Linked DNA regions of Caenorhabditis elegans. The protein of the gene in region 1 purifies or fractionates together with the protein of each later gene. This does not show direct contact. Each region holds a gene or a part of one and is shown on either strand. Other genes may lie near its edges. The genes, in order: taf-7.2 and F32D8.2.

The links.
Region 2: the proteins of taf-7.2 (region 1) and F32D8.2 purify together in Caenorhabditis elegans (affinity purification with mass spectrometry, with the first as the bait; one large-scale study listed by BioGRID). This does not show direct contact.

Annotation. Positions count from the first base shown.
Region 1 is NC_003281.10:12,669,875-12,675,144, forward strand, and holds taf-7.2 (TAFII55 protein conserved region domain-containing protein), read right to left. Parts: upstream 3,550-5,270; 5' UTR 3,542-3,549; coding exon 3,494-3,541; intron 2,327-3,493; coding exon 1,664-2,326; 3' UTR 815-1,663; downstream 1-814. Other genes in the region: elpc-2 (Elongator complex protein 2), read left to right, coding at 3,810-3,938, 3,987-4,244, 4,954-5,215.
Region 2 is NC_003283.11:10,881,773-10,886,750, reverse strand, and holds F32D8.2 (ATPase_AAA_core domain-containing protein), read right to left. Parts: upstream 2,974-4,978; coding exon 2,796-2,973; intron 2,752-2,795; coding exon 2,640-2,751; intron 2,592-2,639; coding exon 2,487-2,591; intron 2,429-2,486; coding exon 2,383-2,428; intron 2,340-2,382; coding exon 2,226-2,339; intron 2,181-2,225; coding exon 2,049-2,180; intron 2,002-2,048; coding exon 1,786-2,001; intron 1,741-1,785; coding exon 1,610-1,740; intron 1,567-1,609; coding exon 1,486-1,566; intron 1,441-1,485; coding exon 1,330-1,440; intron 1,287-1,329; coding exon 1,136-1,286; intron 1,085-1,135; coding exon 936-1,084; intron 886-935; coding exon 822-885; intron 766-821; coding exon 649-765; downstream 1-648. Other genes in the region: cat-6 (Protein kinase domain-containing protein), read right to left, coding at 3,440-3,561, 3,627-4,056, 4,133-4,282, 4,334-4,474.

The DNA.
Region 1 (5,270 bases):
ACCCCCTCTTGAAAATTTGCCGTGGCGAGACCCCGTTTCTGAGGGGAAAATATAAAAATTAGATTTTCAATTTTTCAGCAGTAATCCGAGTAATTGTTAGTAGTTTTGTTAGTAAATTTTTCAATTTTATCAAATGAAAACCTGAGAAATTGCAAAAAAAAAACACACACAAATATATTTAAATTTATATTTTTAGATTTTTCTGAAGATAATAAAAAATCTATATTTTTCCAAATTTTGTTATCAAATTTGATGAGAAAAAAACATAAGAAAACGCGCATCGTATTTGACGCGCAAAATATCTCGTAGCGAAAACAGTGACTACTGTATTGCTAGTGTCGATTTACGGGCTACAGTAGTCCTATTTAAAGGATTACTGTAGTTGTCGCTACGAGATATTTTGCGCGTCAAATATATTTCGTAATACGCATTCTCGGAATTTTGTGATCCCGTAATAGAATTGTCTTTTAAAAAGAAGGAAAAAAAACCACAATTTCGTCTCAGCTCGATCTACGAAAAATGCGGGAATTTTTTATACAGAAAATTGTGAAGTCTGCGTCGAAATTCCCGCGACTTTCGGAGATCAAACCGATATGCGACATTCTGACACCACGTGACGCATTTCTTATGAAAAAATCGTAAATTTTTGCGCTTAAAAATAATTTCTCTGGTTTTTTTAAAAACAACTATACAGAAAATGGACGTGCACTTTGTAAGGGAGCTTTGCCATTTAGGTGAGAAGCAGGATATCATTTAAAATGAATTGGATGAGCAGAAACCAACTAGGCGTCGACTTTCAAAGAAGAAATGAGAAAAAGTATAGTTTTCGAAAAAAACGATAACTTTTTAGAGATTGTAGAAACCCAACAATGCATGAAATTGTTGTTTCTTTTTCTTTTTGTTTGTCTTGTTCAATAAATAAATAAAAAAATTACGGGAGCACAAAATTCAGAGAATGCGTATTGCACAACATATTTGACGCGCAAAATATAACTATATCTCGCAGCGAAAACGATTTACAGCGAAGTTCCATTTTCATTCGTTTTTCAGTATTATTTTTTTTCCATTTTTTGTTCAATTTTAATATTCTATATATCGATGAATAAATGTTTTTTTTTCGTTCTAAAAAAATTGGAAAATTGAAAAAAATTATTTTCCGAAAAAAGTGGCAAATATTTGTTCTAAATATTCAAAAAAAGATTTTTCTATTTTACAAAAAAAAATTTCAAATATTTAATGATTTTTTCTGGGTATTTTTTTTCAGAATTTTAAGAAAAGTCATTTCAAAGTCATTTTCTTAAAAATTTGAAAAAAAAATACCCAGAAAAAATCATTAAATATTTGAAATTTATTTTTTGTAAAATAGAAAAATCTTTTTTTGAATATTTAGAACAAATATTTGCCACTTTTTTCAGAAACTTTTTTTTTTTTTCAATTTTCCAATTTTTTTAGAACGAAAAAAAAAAATTTATTCATCGATATATAGAATATTAAAATTAAACAAAAAATGGCAAAAAAAATAATGGAACTTTGCTGTAAATCGTTTTCGCTGCGAGATATAGTTATATTTTGCGCGCGTCAAATATGTTGTGCAGTACGCATTCTCAGAATTTTGTGTTGCCGTAATAAAAAACAGCGAAATAAAATTATCATCTTAAGAAATTTAATCATCCTTATCATCATCATCTCCAACATCAGATTCATCTTCACTACTTGATGGATAAGTGACATGCCGCTGCGTCCTTACTTCATCCGTCGCACCTTCCTTATTCCCTTCCACAATTTCCCATTTCACACTATCCGCTTCCAAATCTGCACGGAGCAGTCTCTTGAGCTCCTTCTCAACCTCTGGAGCATCCATAAACTTTTTCTTCTTAGTCTTTCGAAATCGCTTCTTCCTCGCCGATTTCATGGGAGGCGTCAGTCCGTGCGGGTATTGCCATTGTTTTGCCTTTGCCGCTGCTGCTTTCTGAGCAGCATCTTCAGAGCTTGAAGCTATTGAATTGATGGAATCATGGGTGCAGACAAGGATCTGTGAGACATCTGCGACTTTATACAGGCTTTTGTTGTCTAATGTCTTGTGGATTTCTGTTATAGTGGGAAGATCCAGGATTTTTCCATTTAACAGTTGATTTCCGATTCTGACTGTGGAATTTCGAGCGTCTGAATTCAAATTTAACGAGAATTCCTCGTGTTTTCCGTCCGATTGAATGATTTTCTCGATTCTACCCACACAATCTTCAGGTACACGTAGTACAATGTGACTTTCGAAGTCTGGTGGATCGTCGGAAGATGCTACTGGTGTGTCGTCGAAGAATGATTGTGGCTGAAAAATTTCTATTTTTTTGGAAAAAAAACACATTTTTTTGCCCTAAAGGTGGAGTAGCGCCAGTGGGGAAATTACTTTAAAACATGCCTGTGGTACCACAATGACCAAATATCATGATAAAAAAATTCAAAAAATTTTTCTAAATTTTATATGATTTTTTGAAAATTGAAAAAATCTCAGTTTTTGCCTAATTCCTATTTGAATTACCGCCAATTGGATTTGTTCGATGGAGCGCAATTGCACGTTTTTAAATTTATTTATTTTATTTTTTTGTTATTTTCCACCGATTTTTAATTTTTTTTGTTTTCAGTGTATTTTTGCTTGAATTTTAGAGAAAAAGTCAAAATAAATGCAAATTTTCGATTAAAAAGCTCGCTTACAGGCGTAAAAATGAAAAAGTAACGCTTTCAACGATTTCGAGCCTGAATTAATTAATTTCACTGATTTACGTCTGTCAGCGTGCTTTTTAATCGAAAATTTGCATTTATTTTGACTTTTTCTCTAAAATTCGAGCAAAAATACACCGAAAACATTAAAAATCGGTGGAAAATAACAAAAAACAAAAAAAATACATTTAAATACGTGCAAGCACGCTCCAACGAACGAGTTCAATTGGCGGAAATTTAAAAATAATTAGGTGAAAACTGTTTTTTTTCAATTTTCAAAAAAGGATATAAAATTAGAAATTTTTTTTGAATTTTTTTACTATGATATTCGGTCATTGTGGTATAATAGGCATGTTTTAAAGCAATTTCCCTACTGGCGGTACTCCATTTTTAAATGATAGAAAATAGACCCTAATGACCGAAAATTTTTTTTTTATATTCCGAAATTTTTTACGATTTTTTCTCGATTTTCAAAATATTTTTTCATCAACGTTTCTCCGTTGTTCTGTCAATTTTTCCGAATTTTTCCGGTTCAAAATTGGCTTAAAATCGATAATTTCGTATAAATGCACATTTTTTTGCGAAAAAAAACCTGAAAAATTGTCAAACGGTGTTTTAGGTAATTTAAAGCAAAAAAAAAATGTTTTTCGCCTTTAAAATGTGTTTTTTCACGGGAAAAATATGAATTTTTAGATCGAAAAAAATATGCATTATTTGTAAACTTTACAAAAAAGTAACTTTTTTGTTAAAAAAGCTGAAAAACGGTGTAATTGCTCACTTTCGGTCCTCTCTTCATCGGCGGCCGCACTCCCGGATAAATTGACATTGTGAACTGCAATTTTTACAATTTTTATGAAAATTTTTAGATTTTTTCCTTAAAAATGCAAAGAAAAACATAAAAAATCGGGAAGAAAAACTGAAAATTAAAAAAAAAGAATTGTTTGTCCTGTTTGTCCTAGAGGAGTACACGGCGTGGTGGCCGAGACCCCGACTCGGCCAGGCAAGTTTTTTTTTTTTTTTTTTTTTTCAGCAATTTTAAACGTTTTTTTTTGAGTTTTTTCACGAGATTTTCACCATTTTTTTCCAGAAAATCAATGAAAATCGAAGAAGAATTTATCTCTGCTAGTGTAAACCCACGGTCGCACTGCCTGACCGCCTGCAAAACCGCCCCACTTGTCGCCTATGCCTCGTCACTTCAAATCGCAGTTCAAACAATTCCAAAAGTGAAAATCGAGATGAATTTTATCATTTAAACTTCAAATAAATTACAGGATGACTCAGAAGTCGGTGTTATCAAGAGCACCTCGGAGCGTCGTCATCAAAAACCGATCACCGTGCTGAAAAGACTAAAATCTTCGGAAATCGTCGCCGATGAATTTGTCACTGGCGGTGTGGATTCTCGTGTAGTTTTATGGAAACTACGTGGAGAACACGTGGAATACGTCGCAGATCTGACAGGTTGCGATGGAAGTGTCGGAAGTGTGTGCGGATGTGTTGAAGATGGACGGAAAGTTGTAGCCGCTGCTTGGGTTCGTTTCAGAATTGCAAAAAAAGCAGCGGCGTCGCATCTCCATTCGGCTTGGTTTTTCATGATTTTTTGTAGATTTGAAGAAAAAAAACAACAAAAAAAACAGAGAAAACACAAAATTGTCTTTAAAAATGACAAAAATGGCCAAATCCCAAGTGTTTTATTTCGAAAAAAATAAAAATCCAAGCTCAAAAAAATCAGGAAAAAGCGTGCCACAGAGTTGCAAAATTGCGCTCCGCCTCTTTTTCTGTGCGGCGCTGTTTTTTTTGCAATTAAAAATCGATTTTTTTGAAAATATCGAAAAATTGAAGAAAAAAAAAATTTTCTTCCAAAAAATAACAAAAATGGCCGAAATTTGAGTTTTTCTTTCGAAAAATCAAAAATTTTCAGCCGAAAAAAAACCACAAAAAATCAGGAAAAACCGTGCCGCAGGGTTGCTAGGCTCCGCCTCTTTTTCTGTGCGGCCCTGCGTTTTGCAATTAAAAATCTAGTTTTTTGAATTAAAATCATAATTTTTTTTTTTAAATTTTCAACTTTAAAAAATTCAAAAAAAAAGAGAAAAATCGAAATTTTATCGAAAAAAATTCACAAAAATCAAGAAAAACCGTGCCGCAAGGTTGCAAAATTAGGCTCCGCCTCTTTTTCTGTGCGATGCAATTTTTGCAATTTTATATTCAATTCTATATCTAAAATTTATTTTTTTTTTTCAGGTATCCGAGACGTCAAACGGCTTTCACGCATGGTGGACATCTTCAATTGGAGATCTTCTAAATTCCACTGAAATTAAATTGGATCACAAAGCATTTGCGCTCTGCCTAGACGCTATTTCCATTCAAAATTCTGTACTCTTAGCAGTCGGAACTTCAAAACGATTTGTAGAGTTATATGGAGAATCGGCAGACAAAAAATCGTTTTCTCGGCTGATTTCTGTCGCTGGACACACTGATTGGATTCATTCGATTGCTTTTAATGGTTAATTTTGCATTAAAAAATATGAGAAATTGGCGGAATTTCAGAGAAAAAATCA
Region 2 (4,978 bases), on another chromosome or scaffold:
CGTCTTTAATAGTCTCGAGGAAATTCAGATCTCGAAAAATAGTACAGTAAGGTGAGACCTGCATCTAGATATTATTACAAGGTTTTGTATGTCTCAGTAGACAAAAAAAAGAGAGAAGAAACAGTGAAACAATGTTCAGAGACGCAGACGGAAGCCGTTTGTGGAACCGAACTGAAGAAGAAAGTGAGTGAAAAACGTGACGAACGAGACGGGCTGGGGATTCGGACAAAAGGTGGTCATCTGTACAGAACTAATTGATATGGAAACAATCACAGAACACAGAGGAACATGGTGATGTAATGGAATTTGATAAGGATTGAGGGGAAAAGCTGATGAAAAGGGCGTAAAATCGAATAAAAAGGAGAATGGAAAGCGAGGGAAAAACTAGGAAGGACGAAAGAAATGAGGTGAAACGGGGGATGAAAATTCGTTGTTTATGTGGGTCAGTTTTGGAAAAAAAACAATATGCTTAAAATCAATTTCATATATAATTTGAAAAATAATAAGAACAAACTATATAGTGAGATATGTGACATTCTGAAATTTGGAATCTCGTATTAATCTTTGCCAGTGCCTGTGAGATTGTTGTTTTACAAATCACACATGCTGAAAACAGATTAATAAATAAACAATTTCCACCGGAAATCCCTACCTTGCAATACCAATGTTAACTTCATAACCGACAACAACCCTTGCTGTATCGAAACTATTAAATGAAGCAAACTCCGGTTTGAAGGTGAACATCTTTTTCAGCAAAAGGGTTTTCTGGAAAAAAAAACAAATTAGTTGCAACAAAAAAAGATAAAATTAATTGAACTTACCTTACCCCTTGAACTGATAATATTCACAAATCCGGTCAATTCTACGCCACGTACTTCCTTACTTCTGAACAACAGTTTATCTAATTGTAGAGAAATACAAATAAAATAACGCACGTTCCAATTGAGTATTCATAAAAAATTTTATAATCTTCAAGTTCAAACGAACGAACACATTTGTGTGTTTTCACTTCTTGTGTAAATCTTGTTCGCAATGTTTGAAGGAAGTTTTTTTCGCCTTTTTCAGGATACCCAGAGGATGTACTCTAAACATTGAAAGTATAATTATATTTTTCTCCGACTTTCAAAGAAATTACCATATTCATGCATAAACATATATTTTCTGATATTCCTTCAGACGTACAGTTCCTTGATGTTGGTTGAGCTATGAAGACAGATTTTGAAGATTTTTCTTTCGGATTGATTAATTCAACAAGCATTTGATTGAAATTAGTAGAAGACAATAACCTAAACTCAGATATTCTTTTTAAATATAATTTTTAGACCTAACCTGTTGAAATTCATATTCATGAAATATAGTTTCTGATTATTATTTTCTATGAATTGGTTGGATGGACGAAAAGCAAACATTGGATATTTGTCGTTTTCGTTTTCAATATCTCTGCAAATTGTTCAAATTAACATGTAATGTAAATAAGAATCTCACTTTGTTGATAAGTCGTACGAAGTGATGATTAGTGTAGTGTTCTCGAAAATGTTTGATTCCTTTAATAGATCCAACATTTTTCTGAAAAAAGGTCCGTTTTTTTCCTCAAAAACTTTTATAATACTTCAAATCTTGATCAATTGATTGTCTACGATATTCATCATATTCATCAATAAACATTGCTGAAAACACCTTGGAATCTGCTGTTGATGTCAGAAATGCTCCGATTTTTTCCAATTGATCATTTACTAATTTCTAGAAAAATTGTGATATAAACTTTTTTTGAAATATAAAACTTACTTTTCCATTTTTCAAACATAAGTTTCCATCAATTAAGAATTGTGTTATGAAATTCTGATGATCCAAAGTATCATAATCTACATCAATCATATATCTGATTTGTTGTGGACCAGAGAAAAAAGTTGTAAAATTATTTTGCTTTGCTTTTCTGAACATATTAATTTTATTTGAAATTCCAAGTTGTAGTAACAAATCTTGCATTGAATTTGGTTCATTCTGAATATTAGCGATATTGATAATTACAAAATCGAGTAACATCTTACTTTGCTCATAAATTGTGCAAATCTGAACTGGTTGTCTTGCATGAAATGCTTACTCAACGGCATTTTCTTCATAAATAGTTTGTGATTTATTGCTGGAAGAAATATTATGGCAATTGATCCCCCGTTTGATTTCTAAAATGGTGTTGAATTTTAGATTCTATTGTTAACTCATCTTACTTTTGGAATTGATGCAAAATTCACAAAGGGTTTCAGAAATTCAACAATACCGTTTCTTTCGCAAGCAAAAGCAAAATTGTAGAATGGAACTTTAACGGGCACATTTTTTTCAACCTGATGTTTATGATTATTAAAGATTTAATTTTAACTTTCATACCTTAATTGGGTGCTCATTTGGCCCACTATTTTTGTAAAAGGTGCATCTGAAGTTATATGTTGAGTTATTGACTTATTGAAGACAAAAAATTAAATAGTTCAAACCTTATATCAGAGGGTAAATCATTTGTATTTTTTGATCGAAGTGTCAAATATCCGTCAGATGATAAGTCAACCTTTTCATTCAGTTCATTTATTTTGCATTCGCCTCTTGAAATGTTATTCATTGGATTTTCTGCATAATTCAATTTTCCTCACCTCACAATATGTTGTTTCGATTTGTCCGGTGTAAGTCCAAAAACGTCCTCATCTTCATTCGGAAAGAAAATATATGGAAGTTTACAAACATTGGTCAGTAATTCTCTGGTTTCTGAAAATCAGACTGCAGGAAAATTAATCAAAAACATCACATACCTACCAAGGAATAAACAAACTCTGGTTTATACTTGATTCCACCATCCTTATCAAATTCTTTAATCTCGATTGAAAAATGACTCATTATCACCGAAAATATTAAAAGAAAAAAGCAAAGAAACATTAAAATCATGCTACTTGGAAGAATACTTTGGTGTTTTCTTAGATTGAACGACATTGTTAAATGGCTTTTGTGGTGTGAATGAACAAATGAATGTACATAAGAGACGGGGATGCTTAATGCCGGAACCAGTTCATGTAACAAATGAATACCAGATATGGTCAGTTGATTATATGTTACAACTTGGTATTTATAAAGAGGAAAGTTGTTAAAAATATATAATTTTGACGTGAAAAGTGCATCGAAACTGTCTTTTGGATAACCATCAGTCACGGGCTTTCACCATCTTTCATCGGAAATAGTTCAATCTTTCAGCCGCTCACACTGCGAAAAAAGTAGAAATTGTTTGCGTTTATCAATTTTAATATACTTTTATGTATCTGTTTTTTAATAGGAGCACGTTTTTTTATCTTGAAGAGATTTTGAAAACTTATAAATTTAACTGTACATTTTATTTATTCAAATCAATATGCAAGAAAAGGAAAGACATTGGCACCGGGCAATACTTATAAATTTTCTTCATTCATTCATCATCAATATTTTCCATGGTGTATGGAGCAATCCATGGATGAGCCATTATTTGGGATGCAAGTGGTCGGCGTTCTTCAGTTTTATTCATCAAGCGAGATACCAAATCTTTAGCCTCTGAAAATTTGCTCCTTTTTCTATGAATAATTTTTTTTCTAGAGATTCAGTTTCAGTCAACTCACTCAATGAAATTCCTTTCCATTCTGGCATATCCAGATTTGGTTTAGCTTGCATTATAAGTTTGAATAATCTGGTTTGATCTGGTGCACGGAATGGAGCATATCCAACAAGCATAACATAAAGAACAACTCCAAGGGACCAAATATCACATCTTGTCGAATATCCGGTCTCCCGAAGAACTTCTGGTGCGCAATAGGTTGGGGTTCCACAGATACGGTACAGAGGTCCAAGAATGTGACATGCCAATCCAAAATCGCAAAGCTTCACACTAAATTTGTCAACGAGAAGAAGATTTTCAGGTTTGACATCTCTGTGAACCACATTTCTTTCGTGAAGATAATTGAGTGCAGATGCAACTTGGAGAGTTATGATAGCAGCATCTGGTTCCTCGATTCGACCATTTTTACGGATAGTTTCATATAAGTCCCCGTACTGAAAAAATCTTTTTTTTTCAAACTGTGTTGTCAAGTTTTGCACGTTATTGTTCAAAACTGGGAGTATCATTCACCTGTGCATGTTCGAAAACTATGAAGTATTGATTTTCAGTGCTAAAAGCATCGATAATCGATATGATGTGATCATGTTGAATGAGTGACAACATCTCCACCTCATTGTCCACAAAAAAGCATTTCCCTCGCATTGCTCTTTTCTCAACTTGCTGAAAAAACTTTGAAGGAAATGAAAATTGCAATGTTGACTGGTACCGAACCTTAAGCGCACATTTGGTGCCATCTTCCTTGCGTCGAGTTAAATGCACACTCGAGAAATTTCCTTTGCCAATAATAGCCCCAATCTCGTATTGCTTTTCAATGTCTTGACGCCCGTCAACACGTTGGATCCATTTGGAAACCTAAATAAAGAAATGAAAGTTGAATGAAGAAAGTGAGACGCTGAAAGATTCCATTAGTGACATGATCTGTTGCCTAACTATCCGGAATGTAGTATTTCCCTCATCCCAATTTCTTATGCATATTCTAACCTAAACCCAGAAGCGGTTTGTCCCTTGAACATACTACAAGTTATTGTTATGACGGATGTGCCGAGAAGGAAAATGGAACAAGGCCTTTGCGTTCAAAAAACATTTTCCAGAAGTGTTCGTTTGCTAAAAGTAAAATATTTGTTAAATAGGTCGCTAAAGTCAATGAGGTGGAACATTTCTTTCGTAGATCTTTGGCAGTAATTGCAGAAAGTAGACATGTTTTATTTGGGTATTACGTAAATTTTGAACTTTTAAAAACTTTTGACACAACGTATCAACAAAAGATCGGGACAGACAAGCATGCTTACTGAAGTGAAAAATCGGCCAAACGTTGGAAGTTTATTGGGAGCATGAGGTAAATATTTCGAAGTTTGA